Linked DNA regions of Canis lupus familiaris. The protein of the gene in region 3 interacts with the protein of the main gene of each other region in a biochemical or structural test. Links are inferred from orthologs where the notes say so. Each region holds a gene or a part of one and is shown on either strand. Other genes may lie near its edges. The genes, in order: RPS6KB1, MAPK1, RPTOR and AKT1S1.

What was found.
Region 1: of the proteins of RPTOR (region 3) and RPS6KB1, one has a biochemical effect on the other in vitro, tested with the Homo sapiens proteins (6 studies listed by BioGRID and IntAct, with this or other methods). The link is inferred for Canis lupus familiaris from reciprocal best matches to the Homo sapiens genes RPTOR and RPS6KB1.
Region 2: of the proteins of RPTOR (region 3) and MAPK1, one has a biochemical effect on the other in vitro, tested with the Homo sapiens proteins (2 studies listed by BioGRID, with this or other methods). The link is inferred for Canis lupus familiaris from reciprocal best matches to the Homo sapiens genes RPTOR and MAPK1.
Region 4: the proteins of RPTOR (region 3) and AKT1S1 interact in a biophysical measurement, tested with the Homo sapiens proteins (2 studies listed by BioGRID and IntAct, with this or other methods). The link is inferred for Canis lupus familiaris from reciprocal best matches to the Homo sapiens genes RPTOR and AKT1S1.

The regions. Positions count from the first base shown.
Region 1 is NC_049230.1:34,350,537-34,358,222, reverse strand, and holds the start of RPS6KB1 (ribosomal protein S6 kinase beta-1), read right to left. Parts: upstream 5,104-7,686; 5' UTR 5,000-5,103; coding exon 4,859-4,999; intron 4,343-4,858; exon of another isoform or gene 4,251-4,342; intron 1-4,250. Other genes in the region: TUBD1 (tubulin delta chain), read left to right, coding at 6,734-6,905. UniProt on the Homo sapiens protein: Serine/threonine-protein kinase that acts downstream of mTOR signaling in response to growth factors and nutrients to promote cell proliferation, cell growth and cell cycle progression.
Region 2 is NC_049247.1:31,188,672-31,195,915, reverse strand, and holds part of MAPK1 (mitogen-activated protein kinase 1), read left to right. Parts: intron 1-1,807; coding exon 1,808-1,917; intron 1,918-4,192; coding exon 4,193-4,309; 3' UTR 4,310-4,318; intron 4,319-7,244. UniProt on the Homo sapiens protein: Serine/threonine kinase which acts as an essential component of the MAP kinase signal transduction pathway. MAPK1/ERK2 and MAPK3/ERK1 are the 2 MAPKs which play an important role in the MAPK/ERK cascade.
Region 3 is NC_049230.1:1,877,650-1,884,893, forward strand, and holds part of RPTOR (regulatory-associated protein of mTOR), read right to left. Parts: intron 7,058-7,244; coding exon 6,874-7,057; intron 5,358-6,873; coding exon 5,247-5,357; intron 1-5,246. UniProt on the Homo sapiens protein: Component of the mechanistic target of rapamycin complex 1 (mTORC1), an evolutionarily conserved central nutrient sensor that stimulates anabolic reactions and macromolecule biosynthesis to promote cellular biomass generation and growth.
Region 4 is NC_049222.1:107,358,416-107,366,252, reverse strand, and holds the start of AKT1S1 (proline-rich AKT1 substrate 1), read right to left. Parts: upstream 3,974-7,837; 5' UTR 3,303-3,973; coding exon 3,106-3,302; intron 3,098-3,105; exon of another isoform or gene 1,208-3,097; intron 1-1,207. Other genes in the region: TBC1D17 (TBC1 domain family member 17), read left to right, coding at 4,249-4,269, 4,546-4,644, 4,874-4,948. UniProt on the Homo sapiens protein: Negative regulator of the mechanistic target of rapamycin complex 1 (mTORC1), an evolutionarily conserved central nutrient sensor that stimulates anabolic reactions and macromolecule biosynthesis to promote cellular biomass generation and growth.

The DNA.
Region 1 (7,686 bases), about 32 Mb from region 3:
TCTCTCTCTCTCTCTCATGAATAAATAAATAAAATCTTAAAAAAAAAAAGATTAAACTAAATGGATGCCTCAGTACAAGGGCAAAAAAAGTTCTTGCAGTTTCAACTTGAAACAGTTTCTTTTGGGGGCAGTGGTAGTTATGGTTAAAGGTTTGGTTAAAGGTTTGGTCATCTCTGGTGCTTCACATAATCACCTACGATGGCTTCACTTTTAAAGACCAAAGACTAACTTCTTTTAAATGCGATAAAACTGGTAATATATAATTGTTTTTACTTTATTTGTTGTTGTTGTTGTTTTGTTTTTACTTTAGTGTTAGTTTTACTTAATTTTAAATTAAAGACCACAGAGTAGTTAACACTAAACCATGACTTTGAAGCCACCTAGAAAGATATGCCCTGTGGCTATGTTTCATTTCCGGAGCCAGCCATGCCTGTATTACCACCTGCATCTGTGTTTATAACTTCCTACTGTTACCTTCTAGAGCAGAAGCATTTGAGGCACAATGCTTTTCTGCTACTCCATGTTACCTTCAGAAAAATCTCACATCAGAAGCATCAGGCTAACATCACATAATACATAGACAACTCTCTTTCATAGGAAACTTTCTAGTTAGATTTTTTTTTTCTGCTGCTTTAAGCTTTATGACCCATCCAATGCTTTTTTTTCCTGTACTATGATTGACAAAGTGAATCCTGCTCATCTAAGGTACTTTACAAGATGTTTCAAACCAGCCCACCAAACGATTTCCAAAGTTCTAAATTAATATTGTATAAAAATTCAAGTTAATATGCCTAAAATCCCAATTAAAGACGGAAAATTTCAAAAAAAAAAAAAAGACGGAAAATTTCATAAAAATGTAAATAAATTGTTAAAGAATAGGTGAAATATCTTTAATTCAGATATTCATTATACTGTTTATCTACTTGCCTGTTTGCTCAGTCATTTCCTTACAAAATAAGACTCAGTAACCCAATGAATTGGAAGAAAAGGAGTAAACATTGCCCAAAATCTTGAGCTGTTTGCCTATTGTAATGCAAGATATGTACTGATGAGAGATCTTTCTGTAATGTTTCATAACCATGAATATTTGCTCTAGCACTGCTTTTCAAAGCACTAAAAAACTGTAAACTTTTTATCCAATAAAAATCTGATATTCCAACCTGAAACCTATGCAATAAACTTCTGTGAGTACTTCAAATTTTGAATTAGTAAAAATTAAGGATTAAACTTTTCCGAGATCACGCCCGGAGTCAAAGGCAGATGCTCAACCTCTGAGCTACCCAGGCACCCCTCCTCTGGAGATTTTCATTAGATTATGAAGATATTGGAAACTTATTTTCTGTGGAGACACAAAGTTAAAAGTAATAGAAAAGTCTAATCCAAAAAAAAAAAAAAAAAAAGCAAAGTCTAATCCTTGGGACGCCTGGGTGGCTCAGTGCTTGAGCATCTGCCTTTGGCCCAGGGCGTGATCCTGGAGTTCCAGGATCGAGTCCCACATTGGGCTTCTGCAGGGAGCCTGCTTCTCCGTCTGCCTGTGTGTCTCTGCCTCTCTCTCTGGGTCTCTCATGAATAAATAAATAAAATCTTTAAAAAAAAATCTTTAGAGGAAAACTTGCCCTCAGTTTCAACTCAGTCTCCCCAAATCATACCATCACCAGTGAAAAGCAAACAAAAAAGACCTGGACCTACCCAGCCAGCTTCCCCTCCCCCAAAAAACCCTCTTACCCATTGCTTTTTAACACAGTCCTCTGAAGTATTCAAACAGGGTCTTTTTGGGACCCCTAGGTGGCTCAGTGGTTGAGCATCAGCCTCCAGCTCAGGGCATGATCCCGGAGTTCTGGGATCAAGTCCCACATCAGGCTCCCCTGTAGGGAGCCTGTTTCTCCCTCTGCCTATGTCTCTGCCTCTCTCTTGTCTCTCATGAATAAATAAATAAAATCTTAAGAAAAACCAACCAAACAGGGTCTTTTTTTAAAGTTAGGTAACAGACATTCAACTTTATCCATAAATGCATTCATTTACTGTCCTTTTGCTTTACTCAATGAAGAATTAACTATGCTGTATAAATACATATATTTGCTAATATAAATTTAGTCAGTGTGACATATCTAAAAAGGCATATATTTATAAATTTAAAAATCCTAGTTTCAAAAATGTAGCACCTCTGGTATAACTGCATTTAAGTCTCTAGGCATACATGAGGGTAAATCTGAACATTTGATTCCTTTGCAATGAGTAACACCAACAAGCTGTATTTCCATGAACTAGCTAACTGCTTAATATGCCAGAATATTTTAAGAGGGCAGTATTTTATATGGTTATTTCACATAATCCTCATTTTGCAGAGAACAAAAAAAAAGTCAGAAAAATTAAGCAATTTATTCTAGGTCATACAGTGACAATGCCTAGAGGGATCTGAATGAACTTGGCATACCACAAAGAAGTACAGTATGAACAAGACTAGTAAAAACAATGAAGAAGGTGTGCAGTGAAGTCTTAGGCTGAATGGAGTCAGAAGACACTACTAGTCAACTACTAGTTATCTATATGGTCTTGGGCAATCACCTGTTTTATGCCTCAGTTTCTGTACTATAAAATGAAGAAGTGGGACTACTCTAATGTGCACTGATATTTTAAAAAGTGTGTGTACTAAATGTATATTTACAAATAGCCAGATTTTCCAAGAATCTAAGCTTCTCATCCTTTAGAATTTTAAAATTTTATTTTAGAGATATCTGGATGTCACTGGCCAACTCAATCCCATTCTCAACTCTTTTTGCTTGTCTGTCCACCTTGAGGAACCTCTTAGAATAACATTCAAAAAAAAATATTTTCAACTCCAAAAAGCATTGCTAAGTAAGATGTATTTTGCTGTTCCTCAAAATCCTCTTTACCTTTGCTTTTTCTCCAAAGTTCTCCTTCCCAGGGTAGAGGCCATATTTCTTTTTCTTTTATATTTCTACCAATTTCTCTGGCCTCCTCTTCCACACACTCTCAAAAACCTGTTTGCTTGCATTTGCCAGCAAAATGAATGTACATGAGTAGGTGAAAAATACATCTCAAGGAGGGCCCAGTTCTTTTTTTTTTTTTTTTTTTTTTAAGGTTTTATTTATTTATTCATGAGAGACACAGAGACTTAGGCAGAGGGAGAAGCAGGCTCCATGCAGGGAGCCCAATGTGGAACTCAATCTCAGGACCCCGGGATTACAACCTAAGAGGAAGGCAGACACTCAACAGCTAAGCCACCCAGGCACCCAAGGAGGTCCCAGTTCTTAAAAGAAATCTTAATTCAGTGTTTTACTTCCAAGGGCTTTAATGTCTCCTGAATTATCCAGCTTTCTCTCCTGCCCTGCTCCAAAGCCACTGCCATATGGAGCCAATATAGTTAATGAGAGTATGCAATACATAGTGAAAGTAATTCCATATTTGTTTCAAATTGTATGTAGTGTATCAGGTATTCCACTAAAAGGCTAACTGGAATTCCATACGCAAACATATTAAAAAGTACACATCTCAATACTTACCTTACACACTATGTGATTTTTATTTAGACTCATTTGATTATGAAAAGAATAATATTATTTCAGCCCACTTAGTTTCTTAAAATATCCAAAGCTCTTTACTTATAGTACCTGGATCTAGCAACAAGCAGGGCACAACTTACTTTCCAGAAGAGAAAATCAGGTGAGGAAAAGGGAAGCCCCTTACATAGAGCAAATATCTGACACCCGTCCTTAACTCATGTATTAACCTAGACAGTGGGATTCAGAACCTAAATTATCATGAGGTTATCACTGATGATCATTTGCCCACAATCAGTGATGTAGTATGACAGCAGTATTTTTGAACTTCAAGCACAATTTCTGATTTTTCAGTAAATTTATCTTGAAAAAAGAATATTCTTTATTCCATAAAGAATAACAAACTATTAAGACATCAATGGTAAAACCAAGCTATGTATTAGGAAAAAACAATTCTAAATTTAGTACCCTAAATTACAGCAAGGAAAGCCCTCACACCACCATTCACAAGTCTCAGTTCAAGCAATTTATTTTTGGCAAGCCAAATCACAGCTGTCAACGCTGGTTTTTTTCCACCCCAAAATTACACAAAGTATTTCGAAAAAATGTAGACATCTTCAACTAGGGGAAAAGTTACAAATACCGTGTGTCGTTTTAAGTGCTTAAAAAAAAAAAAAATCACACGGAAGGGGGGGTTAAAAAAAAAAAAAAAAAAGCAAACAAACAAACCCTGGAAGATGCAGCAGAGCCCCCTTGCTCCCGAAATAAAACTCCTGGTGGCTGTAACAGCAGCGGCAGCGCTACTCCCGACAGAAGTTTTCAGCTGTCACTTCTAACAGCTGAGCGCTTCCTAGGAGAGAAGCGACAGGCCGAGAAGAGAGGTGGTTGTGGGAGGTCTGAAGATTTAATATATGAAATCTTATACCCGAAGGGAAACCCTTCCGCACTTCACCTGCACTTCAGGGACACCCAGAAAGCGCAGTCCCCCTCCCCCCAACACGCGCTTACACCTCTCGCGCCCCGCCACACTGAAGTTCCACAGCTCGAGGAATCGACCACGCACCCCTTCTCGCCGCCTCCACGAATAGACTGCTCCGGGCTGCGCTGATCTGGGGCTACCGGCGCGACCTGCACCTGCGAGCCCCGCAGCGGCCTCACACCTAGTGCCAGGTCCGCCCCGCCCGCTCCCCCGCCTCGGACCGCGCGGCGCCTACGCTCCTCCTGGAGACTACACGCGCCCGCCCGGATCTCCGCGCTCTCGGACGCGCCGGGCTTCCAGGGCCCGCGCCGCCGCCCCGGCCCTGTCACCTCGGGCCCCCCGGGACCCCGGGCCTCACCCCCTCCTCCAGCTCATCCTCAGAGCCCGCGTCCTCTGGCTGGTCCAGGTCTATGTCAAACACTCCTGCCATGTCCTCAGCTTCCCTGTCTCGGAAGTCCGGCGCTGGGTAAAAGCCGTCCCGCCTCCGTCGTCGCCTCATGGGCCCGGACCCGCTGCAGCCACCGCCGCTGCTGCCGCCATCACCGGCTGCTTGGGCTCAGTGCGTCTGCGCCTAGGCCCTAGACTGGCTCCTCAAGTTCAGCGCTAGAGCATGCGTACAAGGTTCTGTGAAGCCTAAGTGTGGGCAATGAACATGCGTAGAGCTATCGCCTGGAACCGGGTGCTGGCAGAAACATGCGCAGAACCCCCGTCGAAGCCTCTTATGGTAGCTAGATCATGCGCATTGTTGGCCAAAGCGTTTGATGGGCAATGAGCATGCGTGCCATGTCTGAAGTTGATAAATTGAAATTGAACATGCGTAATTAACCTTTCTGAATGGGGCGGGGGGGGGGGGAACCCACAACAAAACTCTTCGTTTGTGAACATGCGCATTAGTTCTCCATAGCTTTTTTTGGTATTGAAAGTGAGCATGCGCATAATGAGGGGGTTGGCCCTCTGAAGTTTGAACAGAGCGGAGAGACGGCTGGTTTTGGGTCTGTCAGTGAGTGGGGTTTATGGGGAGCCTCTGGGACTGGTGGGGAAAGGGAGAAACTTACCTTTCAGAACCTCAGTTTCCTTATCTATAAAATGAGAATACCTAGTTTGCAGGGTTGTTTGAAAATTAAAAGTACAGTGTGGCTCGAAGATCATTGCTCTTTCCAGTGCTGCATAAACCTGGTGTGAGGTCTTTACCAAAAATTGTCTCATTTCGTTGTTAAAAGTGGTGAAGACTTGCTCTCCTATTTCATCTGACCCTCTCTTTCCAAGCTTTGTCTCCCTTGCTCTCTTGCCTAAGCTAAATGCAGTCTTTCTTATGTTATTGTAGTTACCAGGCAGAAGGTGATCAGTAGAGAAAGAAAGTCATTATTTAGAAGAGAGAGAAGGTTAATTAAATGTACAATTCTTTTTTCTTTTTTTAAAGATTTTATTTATTTATTCTTGATAGACATAGAGAGAGAGGGGCAGAGACATAGGCAGAGGGAGAAGCAGGCTCCATGCAGGGAGCCCGATGCGGGGACTCGATCCCGGGACTCCAGGATCACGCCCTGGGTCAAAGGCAGGCGCTAAACCGCTGTGCCACCCAGGGATCCCCTAAATGTGCAATTGTTGAGCTAACTTCTGCGTTTTGTGTGTCCCAGTAGTGTAAAGTACGTACTAGGAATTGCTTCAACTAACATTCGTTTTGTTTTGTTTTGTTTTGTTTTGTTTTGTTTTGTTTTAAATGCATGCTTAGGGGCACACCTGCCTGGCTCAGCAGTTGAGCGCCTGCCTTTGGCTCAGGTCGCCATCACCAGGGTCCTGGGATCAAGTCCCACATTGGCTTTCTGTGAGGAGCCTGCTTCTCTCTATGTCTCTGCCTCTCTCTGTGTGTCTCTCATGAATAAATAAAATAAATATCTTTTTTAAAAATGCATGCTTAGGGACACAGTGGATACAAATCAGATTTCAGTAACTATTGAGCTGTCTATGAATGCATCTGGGTACAGTAAATTCCAAATCCCAAAACTACGTAGAGAAAGAAAACAACTTCCTTGAATGATTAGCTGCTTAGACAACATACCTGTTAAATCTATAACACGTTATATGGCATTTTAAAATTAATTTTTTAATCTATGTACATATGACATTTTATTTGTTCTTTGTTTATTAGTACTGTAATGGTTCTCAAAGCCTATGTTTTTCTATTACAGGTTGCTTACTTTTTTGAGGGAATAGGTCTACTTTGCATCTCAGCATGTCAGTAGTAACAGTGCAACTTGGTCAGTGTGGCAATCAGATTGGTTTTGAAGTATTTGATGCTCTGTATAGTGACTCACACTGTCCCCAAGGACTCTGCTCTGAACGAGAAAATGAGGCATATCAAGCATCTTCCAAAGAAAGATTCTTTAGTGAGGAGGAAAATGGAGGTATGTGTGATCCATCTATAGTCCTCTCCTGTACTCTGACTCCTCTTCAAGGCCATTCTTCCACATGGTGTCTGAACCCCATTTCTTCACATCTTAATAGGGAATGACTTTGCTCTCCGCCCTTTTTTCTATGTTAACAACCTTTGCCTCTCCAGTGGCAACTTCCCCTCAGCACATGAGCATGCTCAGATCTCACCAATCTAAAACCAGCCAAATAGGGGCACATGGGTGGCTCAGTCAGTTAGCTGTCTGCCTTTGGCTCAGGTCATGGTCCCGGGATTCTGGGATCAAGCCTGGCATTAGGCTCCCTGCTCAGTGGGGAGTCTGCTTCTCCCTCTCCCTCTGCCTGCCGCTCTGCCTGCTTGTGCTCTCTCTCTGTCTCCATCAAATAAATAAATAAAATCTTTTAAAAAATAAGTACAAATTAAACCGACCAAACAACTTATGACTACAGCTTTTAAATTTTTTTTTTTTTAAGATTTATTCCCTTGGGGATGTAGGCACTGTGGGGTGGTACAGAGTCCAAAGATTTGGAATAAGCTTTGCAATTTTTCTTTAGGTAAACTCTACCCCAATATAGGGCTGGAACTCATAACCCCTAGATTAAGTGTCCTTAAGTTGGATGCTTAACCGACTGAGCCAGCCAGGCACCCCAAGCTTTTCTTTTCCTACTTATCTCTTTCCCTTCCCATCTAAGATTCTCAAAGGTGAACCTCTTTAACCAACTTCAGTCCTGTTTTAGCCCTACACCCAATTGAAGTGCTCAAAGAAAAAAAAAAGT
Region 2 (7,244 bases), on a different chromosome or scaffold from region 3:
GGCAGAGAGACAGGCAGGCAGAGGGAGAAGCAGGCTCCATGCAGGGAACCCAACATGGGACTCGATCCTGGGTCTCCAGGATCACACCCTGAGCCGAAGGCAGGCGCTAAACCACTGAGCCACCCAGGGATCCCCTTGATCACTGTTCTTTAAAAAAGAATGTTCTTTTTATTCCCTAGTAGTTTTTCAGACTTGGAATGGATTATCAGACTTGTTTCTTGGAATCCTTGGATTTTTTAGGGGTGCCTCAGAACTGTGAGCTAGGACTTAAGAAAGATGGATAGCGGGATCCCTGGGTGGCGCAGCGGTTTGGCGCCTGCCTTTGGCCCAGGGCGCGATCCTGGAGACCCGGGATCGAATCCCACGTCGGGCTGCCGGTGCATGGAGCCTGCTTCTCCCTCTGCCTATGTCTCTGCCTCTCTCTCTCTCTCTCTCTCTCTGTGACTATCATAAATAAATAAAAATTAAAAAAAAAAAAAAAGATGGATAGCTCCTTACTCCGTCAATAGCCTTGAATTTGAGAAAAGGACCTGCTTTGGAAAGGACATGAAGTGGAAACACTGTTCTAAGCATTGTCAAGTAAAAGCAGACACTTTTTTTAAAAGCTCCCTTTGCTGCTGCTTTTTTTTTTTTTTTTTTTTAAGATTTTATTTATGATAGTCACAGAGAGAGAGAGAGAGAGGCAGAGACACAGGCAGAGGGAGAAGCAGGCTCCATGCACCGGGAGCCCGACGTGGGATTCGATCCTGGGTCTCCAAGATCGCGCCCTGGGCCAAAGGCAGGCGCCAAACCGCTGCGCCACCCAGGGATCCCCCTTTCTGCTTCTTTACCAGAGCGATAATGTCTTTTCTAGCATGTATTCTTTCTCATTGAAATCTGCGCCTGATACTAAATGCAGGAAGTGTTCGGTCACGTTTCCCTTAACCCGTGTTCTAGCCACTGTCAGCCATGACCTTTGGCTTTTCTCATGGCTTGAAGTAGTGCCTGGACACTAGCTATGGAGGCCACCAGGGTGAGCTAATCATTAGCTGTCCCTCCATCTTGATCTGGTTGATGCTACACTTGCTTCCTATTCCTGTACTCTCTACACAGAAATATTCAGCTGCTCACTACTGACCAGATCAAGAGAATACTTAGGGGTTGCTTGGCTGGCTCAGTCAGAAGAGCATGTGACTGATGTAGAGGTCATGGGTTTGAGCCCCATGTTGGGTGTAGGGATTACTTAAATAAATTAATAAACTTTAAAAAAAAAAAAAGAGAGAGAGCATACTTTTGTTTTGGGCCTTGGAGAAAGATGCCAAGCTGCAGAGTGGGCCAGGGGGCCTGTGCTTCACACATGGATCTCAGCCAGGACCTGGAAACCACACAGGAGGACAAGTGACCATTGTCTTCTGTGACCTTAGAGGCCTTCTTTATATGTTGAAAGATAAACTGACCATTGCAGAGAGGACTTTGGATTTCAGAGAAATACATATATAACACTTTACCTTCAGATGCCTGCAAAACATAAGAATGGTTTAGGGGAAAAAATCCAGGTTTTGTAGGAAGAGTTGGGTTTGAACCCTAGGCTTCCACTTTCAGCCTTTGGCTGATCACATCACCTTTCTGAGTCTAGGTCTGCAATTGTTAGATTAGCCACAGTCTTGAGAAGCTCAGAGAGGTAATAGGCACCCAGTGTGCTGCTGGCTCTTCTCCCCATAGTGATGCTTAGTTCCATTGTTTCATGAGTCAATTTAAACAGGAAATGGAAAGTAATCAGTAAATGTTCCTTTGGCTTCTCACCACTGCAAAACCTTTCTCTTTGTAGCTCTGGATTTACTGGACAAAATGTTGACATTCAACCCTCACAAGAGGATTGAAGTAGAACAGGCTCTGGCCCATCCGTATCTGGAGCAGTATTATGACCCAAGTGATGAGGTAAGACCTATACCCTGGCTGCTGCTTCAGGAATATCTATCAGGCAGCAGTAGGCCCAACCAGGAAGGGCCCAGATGTCACGTTAGATTGGTTCTGAGAAGTGTATGATGCCACACCTGGTCCTCTCAGCCTGCATTGTCTGCTTGAGGACTAGTACTGTCAGCACAGCTTGAAACCTCTCCCTACCCCACCCCCCAAACCCCTTCTGTCTCAGAAAGCTTCCTCCAGGGCACCTGCAGCAGAGGTGGGACTGGGGAAATAGATGAGTAAAGGGGAGCACGAATAAACAGGCAGTCCAAGGCTAGAGACCATTGTCATGGTCTGTGGCAGGAAGAGCTACCTCAATCACAGTGCCTGTCTGAGGGTGGAAAGGAGGCCAACTGCCTGCTTGGAGAGGGGCATTGCAAGGGGGCGGTATGCCTGGTATGTGCCTGGTATGCCTCCTTAGGTATGGGGATACTAGAGCCTCTTGTGGTAAGAAATGCGTCCAGAGGTGGATGTGGCAGGCCTCCAAAGCCAGGTAAAGATCCTGTGTGTAAAAAAAAAAAAAAAAAAAAATCCTGTGTGTCATGTTTATCTCTAAGAAAGTCCCAGTTCCTTAGCCTCTTGGATTCTTCTGGGGCTTTATTCTCTGGATGGTAATGAAGAAAAATGTAGTATGAACCAAAGTTTGGATCTTTCTAGTGGAGGCTCATGCAGAGACAGTAAGCTTTCATAAGAGAACCAAGCGGAGTGTGTTAAAAGGAAAAATGGAAGAGGAAAAGAAAAAGATATAAAAGTTAAAAACTGATAAATGAAAGAGAAAGAAGAAATCAAAAAGAGGAAGTATTTCCTAATTAGCCCCCTTCCATCTCTGTCCCCTACCCTCAGAAATAATGGAGGCAGCTTACAAAGATACCTACAACATAATAAATAATAGGGAAGGAGGGGAGAGTGTAAAGTTTGGAGCTCTGACCAGCCCTATGAGCCCCCCGTGTCCTAATCACAAGCCTAGGTGGTACTCCAAATCCAGTTAGCAGGTGGGAGGACCAGAAGGATGGCATATGTGGGACACCATTGTGACCTCACACATACAGCTGCCCTTCAAAGAGGGCTAACTACTTGTTTTTCTCTTGTGGACACGAATCCTTTTCCCCCTTTCAAAAAACCAATGCTTAGTGCAGAGTTGGTGTCCATGTTTCCTTACCCTGAAGGCCTGGTGTGAGGATTACATGGATAAAATCTAGGAGTGCCTGGTAACTAGGCATCCACTGATTGATAGCTGGAATCCTCATCAGATTAGTTGTAGAACATTGTGTTAGTTTGGAGGTACTTAAAAATCAAAATATAAATAATATCAATTGACTGATTTTCTTTTTCACCATTGTATATATGGAAATTCTTTGACATAGTCATTTTAAATATGTACTTAAATATTAAATAGCCTTCTGATTAGTCATAGGTTGTGCTGAAAAGTAAAAATGAAAACTTGCAGAAAACTATGACAGATCATGTTGTAGTCTTGTTACACAGATATTAAGATTTTGGAGTATTTTCTTCTCAGTCTAATATTTCTGTATCTAAACTTTTTTTAAAAACAGGGTTTTGTTTAACACAAACATGCACATTTCCCCATAATATTATTCTTTCTTACGGCTTCATTTTTAATGACTCCATAGTAATTTTTCATATGAAGATAGTATAATGTATTTAATCAAGTATTTGATTTTGAGTATCATGGCTTTTGATTGTGTAAACCTATCCCCACAACAGCAAATTTCTGTTACTTCAATACTTAGTGCCTTAAAATTTTTTTTTTTTTTTTTTTTTTAAGATTTTATTTATTTACTCATGAGAGACACAGAGAGAGAGAGAGGCAGAGACACAGGCAGAGGGAGAAGCAGGCTCCCCGCAAGGAGCCGGATGCGGGACTCGATCATGGATCCCAGAATCATGCCCTGGGCCAAAGGCAGATGCTCAACCACTGAGCCACCCCGGTGTCCCAGTGCCTTAAAATTTTGAAAATGATTTTGGGATTAGTGGTAAATTCAGAAGAGTGGTCAAAATAGATTTAGTTGCTCCCCGTGCATTTACTGTATGTTCACAGAAAATGTGCCTTTTGGATCACGTAGATGGAATACGGGTACATAGATACTTCTCAGAGCTTTTGGGTTTCCAAAGATGTCAGTGCTACTATATACATTTCAGAGTTGAATCCACATACATTATGAATCAGTACATGACTACCTCAACCACAATCACTCTTGTCTACTCCATGTTCTTTGCTCTCCTACAGCCCATCGCTGAGGCGCCATTCAAGTTTGACATGGAGCTAGATGACCTGCCCAAGGAAAAGCTCAAGGAGCTCATCTTCGAAGAGACAGCTAGATTCCAGCCGGGATACAGATCTTAAATTTATCAGGTACCTAGAGTTTTAGTCGCACAACAAACCCTGGTGAGGGAGAGAGAATATAAATTAAATGTTATTAAAAAGAAAGGGGAAGCCTGGGTGGCTCAGTGGTTGAGTGTCTGCCTTTGGCTCAGGACATGATCCCAGGGTTCCGGGGTCAAGTCCTCCATCGGGCTCCCCACGAGAAGCCTGCTTTTCCCTCTGCCTATGTCTCTGCCTCTCTCTCTCTCTCCCTCTCTCCCTCTCTCTCTCTCTCTCTCTCTCTTAAATAAATAAATAAATAAATAAATAAATAAATAAATAAATAATAAATAAATAAATAAATAAAATTTACAAAATATTTCCTTGAGTTCCACATGGAAGTTTCCTTTGCTTAAGTTTTAAAGGGTGGTGAGCAATGTTGTGGTATCGGTAAGATTTCAAAAAATTGTGTTCAAGAAAAAGGAAATGCAGATCTTGATTTTAGAGAACATACAGAAAGAGGAGAGAGAATAGTGTGGGAACTTGGGAGTGAGAATTGTGTTCAACTCTGTAGAAATGAGCAGTGAAGTTGAGAATCACAAGCAAGGGCCAAAGCATTTGCTGGAGAAATGCTTTGACATACCAGCCTCAGGGGCTGGAGCAGTGTTGTGTGCTGCGTGCCCACAAGTGTCCATGGAGCTGCTGCGCTTGCCTTGGAACTGGAGGCTCCCTGACAGCAGAAAGAGAGGAATGGGTTCTGTGGCAGTATGCATCTAATACAACCATATCTCTGCTCCCCTCTTCCCTGTTTTGTCCATTGCATTTTCATATGATGGTTCAGGCTGAGGGCAGTACTGAGGCTCCAAGTAGAAACTGCTTGGGGTTTCACTTGGAGGACATACAAATGGTCAGAGGTCATTAGATGTAACCGCAGGAAGCTGTTCCTAGCCTCCAGCTAAAGGAACAAAAGTCAAACTGTTTTCCAGGGTCCTTGATCATCACACAGCAAGGGTGCTGGGCAGCTGCTGTAACTGCAGCTGTTAGATTATCACCATTGCTGAAAAGGGGTCAAGAGCCTGTGCTGCCACTGATGTGGGGGATCTCTGGAGCCTAAAGCCATCATTACCATCCTTCCTCCTAAAACCAGGAGTCTCCCTCCTAAAAAACCATGTATCGGTAAGAAGCAGAGAAAAGGAAACCTGTTTTTTCCTATATGTGCCAGCCATTGTCAGAACCTCTCAGAAGCCAATCACCAGTGAAGTCCAACAGTGCAGTGACAAGCTCCCAGCACTGTCATTAAGGACAGAGGACAGGGGAAAACTAGAAAGGATATCTGAGAACAGACATGGCCAGCTCAGCTTCAGAGAGCTGTGGAAGCCAGGCAGAGTAAGGCTGGGTTATTAACTGGTAGAGAATACCACTACCAGTTAGTGGTACTAACTGGTTAGAGTACCGCTACTCTACTAATGGGACAGAAAATGGAATTTTCAGAAGTCTGGTATCCAAGTATGGAGGGTTGGAGGAGAAGCCTGGATGGGAGATGAGCTCAAAATGAATCTTCCAGACCAGAGGGCTAGAGGCTAGGATGAGGGCTGTGGAGGTGAGAACCATTGTGTTCAGGAGAGTGGAGGGAACACAAAGTCTGAAAGACTCCAAATTTCCTAACCCTAGCACCTGGGGGCCAGGAGATCTTAGCCTGACACTGAACATGTCCTAAAAGACAAAGCATGTAAAGTGTGGAAGAAGTGTAGGCTTACAGGACATTAGGAGAATACTGATAAACAAGCCTTTGGGGAAGTGTCTGAATGAGAGACAGAAGGTGTTAGGAGGCTGAGTAGGAGTCTAGCAAGGCTTGGATTCATTTATCCTTTCATACCTCTTGGTGTGATAGTCTTTTAAAGTATTTGTTATGTACAGTGATCTGCAAGATCATTTACTGACAGGTCAGACCCCAGGACCAACCATTTTCACTCCTTATATTGAGTCTCCTTCGGTTCTCCTTTCTGGTCCCTCTGCTTGGTGCTCACAGTGGAAGGGGTCCTCTCTCTCCCTTCCTGTGACTGCAGGAGGTCAGATCAGCTGCCTGCGGTTTTGTAGATAAAGTTTAATCTGGCCCTATACGAGAACAGGTTTGCTGACCCCTGGCCTAGAATAGTGAGCTGAACTACTTCGGTTGCTTTTCTTCTTCACAATCCCTTTAGCAGCTCATTTTCCTGAAGTCTGTTAGTGGATTTTGTTTTTCCCCATCTTTTTCTTGTCGAACTGACACATACTGCATGCCTGTGATAAGCACATGTTAGACTGCCTAAGTGAGCAGAGCAAACAACTCTGAAACTGGCCTCAAAGGAGCATACGGTCTAGTAGAGTACAAAGACAGGCAGAACTGCCATGCACAGTTTTCGTGTAAAAGAATGTGCCAGGAAGGGAGCATTCTGTTGTCTGGGGAGGTGCTTGGCAGTGCGGGGCCAGGGAGTCAGGTCCGAGTGGGAGGTTGAAGTCCAGGCTTATCAAGGAGCCCCGCCTCTCCCTCCCAGGCATCTTCCGGTCCTGAAGCACCAGAGTACGTGATGCTAGGGCAGTAAGAATGTTGGGCAACCTCAGAGAACGGGCACCCTTGGGATCACTGGCAAGGCTACTGGAGGAGAAGGGCAGTGCAGCAGCCACAGAGGAACAAGACAAAGGCGAGCATGCTCCTGGGGATCCAGGGCGCAACTCCTGGGGCCTGACATCTGAAGTCTGAGTTAGCAGACAGAGGTCAAGGCAGCTGCCAGAGTCCACCCTAGTTCTGAGAGTCTGGGACCATGGCTTGTTACCATGGACAGGGGTGGCAAAGACCCTCACTCTCTGTTTAGTTCACTTTCTCCATGGGGGCAAAAGGCACAGTATGTGCTTATAGCCTTTTTTTCCCTATTTTCTGTTACTGAATTATAATTGACATATAATACTAGCTTCAGGTGTACAGCATAATGATTTGATT
Region 3 (7,244 bases):
GGGCTCCTGACACCCGCACATCACTGAGCCCTCTGGCCCAGGAGTGCGCCTTCCATGCACTAGGTCTCTGCCAATTTGTTTCATCGCTGTTTTGTATTTTTCAGCATTTGGGTCTTGTATGTATGTAAGTATTTATTTATGAGAGACACAGAGAGAGAGGCAGAGACACAGGCAGAGGGAGAAGCGGGCTCCACGCAGGGAGCTGGATGCGGGACTTGATCCTGGGACGCCGGGATCATGCCCTGAACCGAAGGCAGACGCTCAACCACTGAGCCACCCAGGTGCTCCTGCGTACCTGCCCTTGAGACAGCACCACACTGTCCCCATTCCTGCAACTATGTAGCAAGGTTTGAAAACGGGAAGCCTGAGTTGTTTATTTTGTTTGTCCTTTATGATATTTTTCGTAAGCACTATTCTGGGACTCCTGCATTTCCATCTGAATTTTAGTCTGAGCTTGTTAGTTTTTGCAAAAAAAGGGGCAGCTGAGATTTTCACCAGCCTCACGTGGACTCTGTGGGTCTATTTGGGGACCTGCTGTTAAGAAGTCACCCGACCCGTGAACATGTGATTTCTTCCCATTTGTGTAGGTATTTACTCTTTAAACGCTTTGGTTTAAGGAATGTTTGTTTTAGAGAAAGAACATAGCTGACAACCAAACATCTGTTGGCCCCGGTGGTTTACAATCCAGCGGTGATTTACAAGACACGCAGGCGCCTGGCATGAGGCCAGCAGGTGGGAAGACAGGCAGAGGGGCGGAAGTGGCCCCCAGGTGGCAGGAAGTGGGAGCCCCCGTCCTCCTGGCGTGGCCGCGTGGAAGCAAGTGGAGGGTGCTGGCTGTCTCCCTGCCACCCGACCAGACACTTCATGCAGCTGCCATCACAAAGCGAGCACCTGGTCCATCCTGCTGATGCCGGAGGGGAATACACATGTGTTTGGTTTCCAAGCGAGCTTTCCAGGAAAGAACCAGGGGCCTGTGTTTTAGGAACTGGAGACCATGTGACCCCGGCTGGCCTCCTGACACAGTTCGGGCTCACCGCAAACTAAGCTGATGTGAACCGGTGTGAAGGTGCGCCCACGGCAATGTTCAGGCTCTGTGTGCCTGGAGGTTTATGTACAAGAAGAGAAAAAGGAGAAGTCGTTTCTGTGCAAGAGTATTTGAGGATATGAGAAAATGTTTGATATTCATAACCACGTAAGTGCAAAAAGCAGCACACAAAGCTGTACGTGTGTAATAATCCCAATGGCAGGAGAGAGAACTGTGTGTGTGGGAGAGAGATGGAGAGACAGAGAGAGATGGAGAGAGAATTACGGGGGACTTCCATTTTATTTTACGTTTTCATTTTCGGAGTTAAAAAAAAAGTTAAGTACACTTAAAAAAAAAACAGCTTCCTGGATGTGCAGACCTAAGCAAGTTCTGCATCTACCCCCGAGCACGGTCACACACAATCTTAAGTTGGGTCAGGGTGTAGGATCCGCGCCCTCTGCCTGGAGAAAAGCCTTCACTCTGCTCTTGGGCCTGAGTGCGTGTTAAACCGACATTCACTCGGCATATGAGGTCTTAAAACAGTCTGACTCTTTTTAAAGCTCTTTCTGTAAATAAACGTTATAGTTTAATCTGTTCTAAATCATGACACTAATAGTTGTGTTCTCTACAAAGTTCAAACAGTCTGAACGCGTATAGTGTAGAAAGGATAGTCCCTGCCCTCTGGAAGCAACGGTACGGGGCCACGTGGGTGGCTCAGTCAGCTGGGGGTCCGACTCTTGGTTTTGGCTCGGGTCGTAATCTTGGGGCCGTGAGATCGAGCGCTGTGCCGGGCTCCACGCTCAGTAGGAAGTCTGCTTGTCCTGCTCCCTCAGCCTCTCCCCCAGCTCCTGCATTCTCTTTCTCTTTTTCTCAAACAAACATGTAAACAAACCTTTAGAAGGAACAGCATGAGCAGTGTGATGTGTGGCCCTGGAGGCCTCCTCCCGTGCTCGTGCACAACTAGGCACCATGGCACCTGTGCGAGCATTTGGGACCATCGGATTATCTACCTTCGCTAACAAGGACTCCACACGTGTCCTCAGGCAGGGCGGCTCACGGTAGGGGCCGTGCAGCTCTATCGCACGAACACAGTGGTCTTAACTCGCGCTCCTCCTAATTAATGATGGATTTTTTGTTTTGTTTTATTTTCAACTTTTTGCTCTTACAAATCATTTTAGTTTTTTAGGATCTCTTTCTCAGAAGAGGGCTGTGGGTATTTTAGGGCGAAGCCATTTCTGATTTCGAGAACCACCAGTGAACTGCTCTACAGCAAGCTAGCGTTTTACCACCAGCAACAGTGGCGGAGAGCTCCTATTTCCCTGCACTCCCGAGAGCCCGCCTCTGGGTAAAATCAGTCTCCACTCTGCCAACCTGAAGGAAAAAAATCTATTACTTTTGTAGCCAGAATAAATCTCAATGTATCTTTTTTTTTTTTTTTTAAAAGCACATGACAGGCGGTTTTTAAACAGTCTTTCCAAGGCAGATGCGAGCCCTGTAAACCAGCGGAGGGAGGGGACGGTTCCTTCCTCAGTCACGGGAGAGCCACCTCCGGAACCGTTCTTTCTGGCCATGCAGACCTGAACAGAATCAGGCGGTGAAGAGACAAAAAGCCAACAGAAAGCGTCCTGGCCGCCACGTTGTGGGCCCCCCGGGCCCCCCAAGCGCGAGCTGCGGGATGCTTGTGAGCCATCACGCGGAGGACAGTTCTGCTCTCTGAGGCGGTTTAGGGCTCTGACTTCTGAGGTACAAGCCTAGCTATGAGCTGTTCTTAGTTTATGTGTGAAACAGGCTGATAAAAACGCTCCTAACGCATGTATTGCACGCATGTCGTTAGATGATGAATTAACTTAATAAAAGGACACCCCTGTGAACGGCACCCAGAAAACAGGGGAGAACAACTTTTAAAAAAATTACAAAGAAATAAAAATGCATCTTCTTCTGACATTTAGAAATGGTTTCTAGTTAACGCGAGGGAGAAGTTACTCGGGCGCCGGACCACCTCACATCTTAGCCGCCACCAGCAGCTACGGACAAAGGCCATCGCGACGGGCTCACCTCCGACCGGGAGGCCTCGCGCGTCACTTCAAGTGACCATCACCCGAGAGCCTGGCAGAGGGTTAGCAGGACTTCCTGACCGCCTCCCGCGGGCCAGGTGGGAGTGACACCGGCGAGGGCCCTCCTTCCCAGGCCCCCTGCAGCATCCCCACTCCGGGTGTCACCCTGTCCCCCCCTGACCTGCAGCTACAGAGGGACGGGGCAGGGGTGTGGGGTGCGGGTGTGCCCATGAGAAGCACAGGAGCAAACCTCAGGCCTGCGCTCAGGAAGCGGCCCTGCGGGGGCTGACGCCACTGCCCCCGCCCCAGGTGGCCAAGGACACTCACTGGTGAGAGGACGAGCCTGCGGACCTATGCCCCTCCTCCCTGCTGTCACCAAGGACGGCAGGGCCGGGTGCCTCTCAGACGGCCCAAGGAGCTGCTCATCACCCTAAGACAACCCCCGGCAGGGCAGGCCCCGGGCCCTAACCTGTTGGCCTCGCTCCCGTGAGGAGGAGACTGTCAGGGAGACTGAGCTCCTGCAGACCTGGACAAACCCTTGTCCCTCAGAGCAGACCAGACCAGAGTTCTAGGGTCGGCCTGCTGCCCACGGCCGCAGCTGCTGCAAATTCCAGCATCTGCTCGCTCGCTTGCTCCCTTCTTAGCGAGGGGCCCGGGTGGTGGCAGTGGGCAGGGCGCAGAAAGCCCGAAGACCAGCACAGGCCGTGGCCGCCCCTTGCGCTTGCTGCATTCATACTTTTGTTCTGACTGTAAAGCAGCTTGGTGCTTAGTATGGAAAACACAGGGGAGACAGCCGTGGATAAACACGCTAGGTGCCACGCCTACACGTCACCCGCCACCTGCCATGGGGCGGCTGCTTTAGCGTTTTCTGGGCACAGACGGATGTGCACAGTGTTTCCAACGGGGATCTCCCTGTAGCCAATTTATGTCCTGCTCTTTTCCCTTTTTAAAAGTTTTAGCATATTTCCTTAAGATTCCAATTTTAAAGCTTAATTTTTAAAACAATAAGCATCAAATATTTCCTGAGTGTTAAGCCCTCCTCTCCGTGCTGGGCCTTCAGGAGGATCCTAGATTTCATGAGATAAATAACACCCAGATCATCCACGACTCTGATCATTTCCTTGGGTCGGTGTCTCAGCAAACGAGTTACCAGGTTGAAGGGAACGGCTGCTCATGGCTTCTGACACTTTACCGCTAAACCGTTTTCTGGGAGTCGGGTTCAATTCAAAAATGGAAGAGAGATGTCTGCCTTGTCAGCAAAGGGGCTCAGCAAACTAGAACTCTGTCCTCTGCCTCAGGCACGGACAAGGACCGCCTTGTGTTTTTATCAACAAATAGCATCTTTATGGGCAAAGAAAAGCAGGATGAGAGTTGTCATAAAGGGTCCAGGTTACTCCTCAAGGAAACTGCTTGGATGTGTAGCTTGATACACAACCAAGAGTAAACCATGATTTCAATGGTCTTTACGAAAGAAGAAGAAAGTTTTCTAAGAATGTGCTTCATGGGAAAGTCGGCACTCCTGGCGAAGAGCAGCAGGACAAAGCGCTGCTGGCCCCACACTGACCCCTGGACATGCGGCTTGGATCTGGCACGACAGGACACGTCTCCCGTCAGGGCCAGGGGAGAAGGACACCTGAGTGCCAGGCTCCACAAGCGGCCCGGGCGCGCTGGAATTAGCCCCAGCAGGCAGGTCTTCGGGACAAGCCTGCTCTCCGGCCGAGCAGCCAGAGCCCACGCCCCGGGCCGTCCTCACCAGGAGGGTCTCCAGGCCTGGCGGCCTTGCCGAGTGGACAGATTCAGTTGTCCTCTGAGAGGGCAGGCTGCCTTGGTTTCTTTGAGAAGACAGGAGGGTAAATGAAGTCTGTTCCTTTTGCTGTTTTGACTGTTACATCAGCTACCATGACGGCCGTCTAGGGCGCCCATCAGTAGCTGTAATGTGACGGGTCAGGAGCCCCAGAGGGTCGGTGGCTGGGCTGGCGGGAGCCACCGAGAGTGACCAGCTGGGTCTGGCCATGAGCAGGGGGCTCAGACAGCTCAGGCCAGAGGTCGAGGCTCCTGGGGAAGGAGGGGACGGAGGGAGCCAAGGCAGGGCTCTGACCGACTCCAGTGTCTGTGCGAGGGCACAGACGGGAGGCCCACTTGGTACCCGGAGCGGAGGCGCACACTACCTTCATGACAGGCTGGGCGAAGTACCGGGCGCTCCAGTCACAGAAGCCAGTCTGTGTTGTGGCCGAGACAAAGCTTCTGTGTCCAGCGGCATCATCTGCATCGTCGGTGGTCTTCAGGGGCGTTTCGGGGGGAGGGGGAGAGAAAACAGGAAGAACAGTCACACACTCCACACACTTGTTTGTGAGCTCGAGAGGACTTGCAAGGAGACAAAAGGCAGTGGTCTGGCTGCTAAGAACGTTTCTCTGCTGGCCTCGCTTCTGCATCCTGGTGGCCAGGGACTCTGAACGCATGGCCAGGGCTCCAGGGAACCTGTGTCAGGGAGGGCCATCAAATCTGTGCTCAGGGGACCAGGTTCCCTCGGGGCCGGCCACAGTGGCTTGGGATGCAGAGCCTGTCACTCTTAAATCGGATGCTCAGGCCAGGCGCCATGAGGTCAGCAGGGCCTGAGGCCTCTATGGCCTGGAGGGCAGGGGCTTCTGGCACCCTGGCACCCACCTGTGCAAAGTAGCTCCTGCACGGGAGGGACACGCAAGTATCAAGACCTCAACTGCTTGGTGCTGCTCTACTGGACAACACATTTGTTTCCCACAGCACGGCCTACGGGGACCAGGGGGGCGAGGGTGGGAGTTCGCATCACTGTACGAAGCTGGGCACGGCAAGGCCCGCGATGCACGGGGGGGGGGGGGGGGGGGGGGGAACGGAAGGCGTCCGTCAGAGAGGAGCCCTGTTATCCAGGGGAGCCTCGCCTGGTGGAAAGTCTGACAGCTGGGACTCAGTGACAGGGTCTCACCCCCGACTGCTGTGGGAACCTGCGCTGCTCTGCTGGGCCAGGCTCCTGGGCTCCCGGCCCCCAGGGCAGTGAGCGCCCCCTATGCCCAGGTGCTCCAGTCTGACGGACCCATGTCAAGGTCCTGCCAGGAGGACGAACCTCCCACCGGGCACTTGTGGCCATGTTTGCTCCACCCAGTACGGCGGGAGGCCTTGAAAGCCAGGGCGGGCGAGGGGCCAGGGGCACGTGTAGAAACTACCACCGTATGTGCTTTTGCTCCAGTCTCCACAGCAGCCTGGCTCCCTTGGCGTGTCCTGAATGGCCCCTCCAGACTGCGTCCTTGTCCAGTAGAGCGGCACACCGTCTGGACAAGCGGCCAAGGCCACAGCTTATGGGTTTACAGCAGCCAGGCCAACGAAGACACCAATTCCTCCCGCGCCTGGAGTCTCTTTCCAGCTTTGAGGCAGAGACTGCAGCTCCTTATGTGGCAATAACAGGATGTTTGCGGAGAAAGCAAACAACCCACTCGGAACAGGCACTTCTGCACGGCAGCTGCCATGTCCAGTGGAGGAAAATGCTACTCAGCCGCGAAGGGAGAAAGCAGATTAGCTCCATGTGCTTACTTGGCTACATGGAAGGTGCCGGAACAGTGAGCCGACAACAAAAGGCCCCAGAAGGGAGGACCCTGGGACATCTGCTCAGCCGTGATGGGACAAACTGAGAGCCACAGCTGGGGGTGCAGGCTGTGGAGGCCCCCCCCCCCCCGTCCTGGTGTCAAATCTTGGCTCACACTGAGGGATGTGATGCTCAGCACCTACACTCACTAGAATGGGTGCCAGGGAAGGGTTCGAGGGTACCTGGTCTGGGCCCTTGTCAAACATCTTCCGCGTGCGGGGGAACTGCTGAGAGTGGGGCGTGTACTGCACCCCAGCGGGGCCAGGGGCACCAGGACGGCCCGCGGGCAGGTCTCGGCTGACTGGCTGCTTGGCCACATCGTTGGTCAGGCTGGAGCTGCTGGCGCTGGATGTTGGCGGGGAGCCCCTGTCAGTAGGGGAAGAAATGCTGTGCTTTACCCAAACAAAATACCCGGTCCTCATGCCACCCACCTAGATACTGCCAACTGACCTAGTTCAGGGCCCAAAACATCCTCACATGCCCGACACATCCCTATGCCTCCAGACTGACACCAGCCACCCACGCTGATGGCCCTTCTGGGCCCTGCCTGTGG
Region 4 (7,837 bases), on a different chromosome or scaffold from region 3:
GCCCTTGAGATGTGGCGGGTCCAAGGTGAGAGGTGCCATGAGTATGAAACCCACACTGGATTTTAGAAGACTTGGGACAAAAAAGGTTGGATGTCAGAGATCTCACTGGCAGTCTGAGGTTGATTACATGTGGAAAAGATGACATCTCAGATATAATGGCTAGTTGATATAAGGCGAAAATGACTTTTATCTGTTTTCCTTTGACTTTTTTAATGCAGCTTATAGAAGATTTGAAGTTATATGCCTCGCCTGCATTCTTTTTCTGCGGGACAATCATTCCAGCCTCTTCCTGAACCTCTGAGCCTCCAGTTCGGGCCCCTTGGGGTCCTCCTACACTGGAACTGCCCTTGCCTCTCCCTAGTATCCCCAGGACATGGTCGTAACCCCGGCTCTGCACTCAGCTTCACAACCTTCCAGACTTCTGAGCCCTCAGACCTGCAGTTAAATAGTTCCCCTATACCAGGTCCCCCTATACCTGGATAACTTGTTCCCTGATTACTTGTTGACCTTTCTCTCACCCTAGCGTGGAAGGAGCTTCCCCTCATCCCAGATGGGCTCAGTCCCCACTCTCTGGACTCCTACAATGTCTGAGAGTCCTTCCATTCTAGCACATATTCCCATGGGGAGTACTGTCTGGATCCACCTCCATCTCCCCAGCCACTGTGGAGCCACCTGAGGGGGAGCCCATGGGATTAATCTCTGAGCCGCCAGCATTGCCCAGCACCTGACAGGCCTCAGAGACCAGGGATGGAGCAGAAAATGGTGTGCAAGCTGCTCTCTGCGCCTAGACTCCATCCATGAAATTTTGTATTTCCTACAAGACTTTTCTGCCAGATGCCTTCCCTAGACCCACAATGCCCTGGGCTACATCCATTATACCTCACTGTCATTTGAGCTTGTGACAATTGTACCTGTCTGCCTCCTCCATCACACATCTGAGCTCCCCAAGGTCGGGGATCTGTACCCCAGAACAGGTCTGTCCTAAGCAGACAATCTACTGGATGCATCTACTTATGAAATGAAAAGAACAAGGGGTTGGGGTGCCTGGCTAGCTCAACTGGAAGAGCATGCAACTCTTGATCTTGGGATTGTAATCAAGAGCCCCACAAAGGGTGTAGAGATTATTTAAATAAATAAACAAACTTAAAGAAGAGAGAGAGAGAGAAAAGAGCAAGGGCAAGTGGGCTGGCTTCCGGCCATCTCAAACCTGCTGTGTGACCTTGGACCACTGACTGGCCCTCTCTGTGTCTCATTTTCTTCTTCCTGTAAATCAAAGTGGTTAAACCAGGACTGCTGGGAAGCCAAGAAGCCTCCTCAGGGAGGTAGGGGGCACCCCAACATTGGAGGAATTCAAGCAAGGTTCTAGTCCAGCCAGGGTTATTTGATTTCAATGTGCAGGCCCTTTTCAACTTATAATCACATGAACCAGTGTTTGCTGAGCACTGACTCTGTGTAGGGAGTCTACACCTCTCATTTCACCTCCCACCTGACCCACTAAGGTGGGAGCTGTTACCTCACTAATGAGACAGCCAAGGCCCATAGAGTACAAAGCCCTTGCTGGAAGCCACACACAGTGAGGTCACAACCAGCACCATTCCTGACAGACCCCATGGCAAACTCACCCTGCACTTCCCACATGCCAGGCAGGGATGCAAATGGATCATCACCATTCTCATGCTACCTTCTCCCCAACCCTATGAGGCAGGGGCTGTTATTACCCTATTTCATGGTTGCACATCAAGGGCTTAGGGAGATTCAGTATCTCGATGAGGTAAAAGGGGCTGGAGAGGAGAGCCTGTTCTTAATCCCAAATGCCATCTTGCCTTCCTTATCAGGAAAGGTTTACATTCAGATGGAGAAAGTGAGGCTCAGACAGCCTAAGGCATTGGTCAGAGTCCCAGAAGTTAAATGGGTCAGAGCAGGGCTGACTCTGCTGTTTGCCTGACTCCAAAATCCAATAGAACTGAGAAGTGCTCAGGGTCTCACCTACCAGAAGGAGGAAACCAAGGCTCAGGGCAGGGAAATGACTGGCCCAAGGTCACACAGCCTGGCAGTGCTAGGCCTAGGGCTTTCACATCTCTGGGACATCAGGATTAAACTCTCTGTCCTAGATCTTAGAGTAGTTACAGGATTGAAAAGAGTGTAATGGGGGTGAGTGGGTGTGAGGGTCCTCCCACTGTAAAGAGGAGGAGAACTGGGCAAATACAAGGAGGGCAACTCAACTTCTCTGCCAAGGCCTGGGGGCTCTCTGGCATTAGTTGTTTAAAAGTAGAGTGGCCAAGACCAGGGGAGACTCTACCCTTTCAGCTGCTGGAGGAAGTCTTGTATCCTCTAAGGAGCTCAGAGATGGACGGAGGGTCCTCAGCCAACCAATTTGAGGAGCCTAGGATTAGGGAGAGAGGTGAGACTTGTCCCCCAGAGGAGGGGGAGGGGAAAGCTAAGGTAATTGGCCCTTTAGGATGAGATGAGGAGGTGAACTGAAAGAAGTAACTCTAGGAAGAGGTGAGGAAAGAGGCAAAGTCCACCACGCAAGGAGGAATGCTAATTAAGCCCCCTTCCGACCACCTGTCAAATTGGCAGTGCACCCCCGCCCCAAAGTGGGAGAAACTCGAGGGTGGCCCCCCAGCCCCCACCCCGCGAGGCCGGGGGAAAGGTGAAGGCCTGGGCTCTTCCTCGACCTCTCAGAAACCTTCTCCCCACCTCGCCCGGGGGTCCAGGGAGGACCCACTTCTCTAGGAAGAAAACAGGAAATCCCGCCCAGGTGGGGGGCCAGGACCGGAAGTCCCGCCTTTGGACGGGTGAGGGGAGCCCCGAGTCCCCCCGAGCAACCCCCAGACCCTGTGGACATGGTCCACGCCAAGGCAAGGATCCTAGTGGGTCTGCAGACCGGAGGATAAGTCTGTCTAGGTTTTGCCTCCAGTGAGACACAACGGTTCCCGCGGGCTACCCCTTCCTAGCGCTCAGCGTAGGGTCGCTGGAAGATCTCTGCCCTCTGATCTACTCAGGCCATACCCCTCCCGCGAGCGGCTCGCCCTCCCAGCGCCCCTCTCCTCCGGACGGCCAAATCCTCCCCACACCGCGGTTCACAACGCCGCCTCCACTCACGTGCCCGTAGCCAGCATGGCCGGCCCGGCGCCGTCGCCGCCCTCAAAAGACATGGCGGCGCCTCGCGTCACTTCCGCGTGGTTGGCCCTCCTCCATGCTGCACACTCCGCCTCCCTTATCGGGGCCGCCCGAGACCATAATGACCACGGGGACATCACCGGATCACAGTGGGACAGTGGCGACAGCAGGGTGCCCATAAGAAAGATGGTGAAAGAAAGGCTTCAGCTTGCTCGGAAACAAGCCAAGACCATTTCGATTTGCTAAGAAATACGGCCGTCGGCACGTGTATTCTCAGGACCACAGTAAACTAAGGCCAGCGACCTGACGCCCCTCACCCATTGTCAACTTCTTCCACAGAAATGGAGGAAAGTAGTGCCCATTAACGACATGGCAACCATCCTAGCATCACTTGCCCAAAGCGTACATGGACTCTCCCTCCAGCCTATCCCCCTTTTCAGCACCAATGCTGGGGAAGATCCAATATGGCAACTTTTTTTGCTTCGCTTTGCCAGGCTTCAATATGGCGGCCTACACCGCCGCCTCCCGACGGTGACTCAGGAATTCGACTGGGTCCGCTTCGTACCCGGGGATACTGACGGCTTCATCCCGTTAACCCAAGTCCCTCAGCACCTCTCGTGACGTACGCCTCCTCTCACCTTCTTTTCCTTTACCCGTCTGTTTTCCAGGACCTTGCTGTTGCGCCCCTCAGAGAGATGGGACTGCCCCGCATTAACATGGCCGCAGCTGACAAGCTTTGGCCGTGCCCTCGAGCAAAATGGAATCTCCTTGGCTTCGATGCCAGTATACAATATGGAGAAAGAAGGAGGTGTTTCGGAGAGCGCTGGGGCGAGGGGGTGGAGCCCTTGGATCCTCCCCCTTGTTTACTCCATGGTAAGGGAAGCGGCACTGCGCATGCGCACTCTCGCTGGCCTGCCCCTCCTTCCCCGTGCGTGCCATGTGACTTACACCCTCGTGGTTCAAGTTCAGCCACCCCGTTCTGAAAGGTGGTTACGTCCACTCCTGTTCTAGAACAGGCAAGGGCGCTACCACTGTCCAGGCTTGAGGGGAGTCTCCTATCCGGATGTGACAGCACGGTGACCCGGAAAGGGAGAGGGCCGGGGCAGTGGGACCTCGGCCGCGGCTATGGAGGGAGCCGGCTACAGGGTAAGCACTGGGAACGCGTTCTTTCCCTCCTGGGGATGCGAAGCGACGCCCTCTGGTAGTCGGCTTCGCCCAACGCCCTGCCGGAGCTCTGGGAGCCCGGCTGAGCCGGAGCAAAGACACCATTCCTTTATAAATACTCTGTCACCCTCCCCTCGGCTGCCCTAGGGAAGACCCTTACCTTGTGGCCCCGCCCCCGCCGGCTGGGACGTTCCTCTGGGCACCGCCCCCTGGCTGTCCTGCGCTTGGGTCCCGCCCCTCACCGATTTGTGTCCGCAGGTGGTGTTTGAGAAGGGTGGTGTGTATCTGCACACCAGCGCCAAGAAGCACCAGGACCCGGACTCCCTCATCGCTGGCGTCATCCGCGTTGTGGAGAAGGTGGGCCAGGAGGGAGCAGGGCTCCGGCGGGCCCTGGGCGAGATGGAGGCGGCGTCTATAGGAGTATGATCTAGGAGGTCACGATGGGACCTTAAGAAGGCAGGGAGCGCGGACTGGGGGTATAAGGGGGGCTTTGTAAGCCTGAGGGTCCGGGCCGGGGAAGAAGTACAGAAATACGGCTTGCGGTGATTGGAGGGGAGTCTCTCTAATTCCTCTTTTCTTTCCTCAGGACAGCGATGTTCTCCTGCATTGGGTTCCTGTAGAGGAGGCTGGAGATTCCACCCAAATTCTCTTCTCCAAGAAGGTAGGCTTTTCTCTCTTCTCGTTTCTCCACTCGCTTTTTTCCAGGTTCAGGCAGTGGAAGATGTTTGAAGGACCTGGATGCAAACCCAGACTTACTTTTGGAGCTTGTGTGATCCTTGTTGGGATCTAGGTTCTCTTTGCTCCTTGGTTTCCTCTTGTCTGTAAAATGGAGCTGAAGATGCCCGATCAAAAGAAAGCTGACACCATGAGATTTGTAGCCTAGGGGACAGCTGCCCCCTCATCTGTTTGCTCTTAGGAGAGCCCTGCCAGGGTGCGAGAGGACGGCGTGGCCTGTGGATTCGGGTTCCACGAGCTCTCAGTCCACAAGAGCCTGAAGGGGTGTGGCATGTCCCCTTCAGAGAGGAAACACACCCTGACCCAGGTGGCTCACCCACTTCCCAGGACACCTTCCTACCCTGGGTGCCAGACTTTGCCCTTCTTGTTCTTAGAGGCTCCTGAGGCTTTTTGTCACCAGGCTCTGTGCTGGGACCCAGAGAGGAGTCTGACTTGGACCCTGCCTCAGTCTTCACCCCCATTCTACTTTGGGAAACTGAGGCACAATGATTGGAAGTTCCTTTTGCAAGATCAAAAAGCTAGGAGGTGTTGGAACTTGAGTTTGATACCAGACTCTCTGATTCCAGAGGCCTGCCCCTTTCTGGAGGAAGCAGACATTGCGCTGGAACCGTAAGGATAAGGGAGCAAGAAAATACTTCAGGGATGGCAGGAGGAAATGGGGTGTCTCTGTAGAGCAGTTTGCTGGAAAGATGGTTGATTCTGAAATGCCCGACTGGGAAGCTTGGATGATGTTCTAGAGGCCTCGGGGAACCATGGGAGGAGAAGGGTGTGGGTGTGGAAAGCTCTCCTGAGAGACCGTGCTGGGAATGGGCAGGTCCGAATAGAGGGAAGTTGGAGGCAGGGAGGTCAGGAAGAAGGTTAGAATGGTGTACCAGGGGTAGAGAGAATGAAGCCTCACTTGGGGCAGTGGGGGTTTGAATAACCTGGCGAGGGTGTGTATGTGTGTGTGAGACAAATGGAGATTCCAGAATTCTGCTCAAGCCAGGGTTGAGGAGGAAGCATCGAGCATTCTGCGTTTTTTGTCAGCTTCGCAGGTCGGCTGAGTGCCTCTCTTGAAAATGTGACTGTCCTCTTCGGCAATCTTATTTTTGACTAACACAAACCCACTGAGGGGGGCTCCTGAGTGACTCAGTTGTTGAGCGTCTGCCTTTGGCTCAGGTTGTGATCCTGGGGTCCTGGGATCAAGTCTCGCGAGCCTACTTCTCCTGCCTACATTTCTGCCTCTCTCTGTGTGTCTCTAATGAAGAAATAAATAAAATCCTGGGATCCCTGGGTGGCGCAGTGGTTTGGCGCCTGCCTTTGGCCCAGGGCGCGATCCTGGAGACCCGGGATCGAATCCCACATCGGGCTTCCGGTGCATGGAGCCTGCTTCTCCCTCTGCCTATGTCTCTGCCCCTCTCTCTTTCTCTCTCTGTGACTATCATAAATAAATAAAAATTAAAAAAAAAAAAATCTTAAAAAAAAAAAAAAAAAACCTCGCTGAGGTAGACTGCAGTGGAAAAGGCACACACGCAGAATACGCTTAGCTCCAGGGAACACAAAATCTGGCGGAAGACAAGTTAACAGACAAGTTTATTTTTCTCATTTTATAAGACACTCAAAGAGGCTGCTGGCCTTGGCTGGCAATGTCGGGGCCCAGATTGTTGAGACCCTCCTTTGCGTGCCCTGGTAATTTTTTAATGATTTAGCTGCAGCTCCTGTATCTGCCTTTTGAGGCAGGAAGAAGGGGGCAAGCAGGGTGCCAGTCACATCTGTCCTCATCAGAAAAAAACAAGGCATTTCCCAGATGCTCTGCATCAGGTAGGAGTTATATTTGGCCACGTGGAATAGAAACAGAAACGACCGTGGCTTCAGCTCGATAGTAGCTCATACTTCTCGCTTGAAAAGTCTAGAAGTCAGCAGTACAGGTTCACATGTCATCACCAATCCTTCCATCTTTGCTGTGTCATTCTCGGCATGGGGCGCCTTCCTCACGGCTGCCTTATGGACCAAAAAGGCTGCTGGAGCTCCAGCTTTTTTGACTGGTTTTGCTCACTTTGTACGCGTTGCATGTTGGTCAGGAGCTTTGCTCGTCCTGATTACTTATGGAAGCCTGCTGCTAGAGCAGCCACCATTCCTTGTGGCAGAGGGCAAGAGCTCTTGCCAGGCAATTAAACAGTCCATCCTGGGAGGGGTACATCCCAGCCCTTTGGTCAGAACAGGTTGCATAGCTCCACCCAGCCAGTAGAGCTCAGTGAGCTACGATCCTGCCATGTGCCCAAGAAGCAGAGGGCTGCAAATGCTGGCAGAAAACAATACTGATTCTCGTTATGTTATGTAAACATTGATGAAACATGAGATTCATCTCACAAAACATGGGGACCAGGGATGGTTTTCCCAGGGATGGTTCAACAGCCCTGTGAACAGGTGTCTTAGTGACTTCCTTCATGGTCCCAGTTGGCTGCCAAAGCTCCAGACACCATGCTTTCCCTCAACAGCACCCAAAGACTGGCCTGAATAGGGTGCTGGTCAACCCTGTACATGCCTTTTTATAATCAAGAATTTCCCGGGATCCCTGGGTGGCGCAGCGGTTTGGCGCCTGCCTTTGGCCCAGGGAGCGATCCTGGAGACCCGGGATCGAATCCCACGTCGGGCTCCCGGCATGGGGCCTGCTTCTCCCTCTGCCTGTGTCTCTGCCTCTCTCTCTCTCTCTCTCTCTCTCTCTCTCTGTGTGTGTGACTATCATAAGTAAGTAAAAAAATTAAAAAAAAAAAAAAAAGATTTTCCCTTTTAAACTCTCCACCAATGGCATCTCAGCTTCCACTGGCCAGAGGTA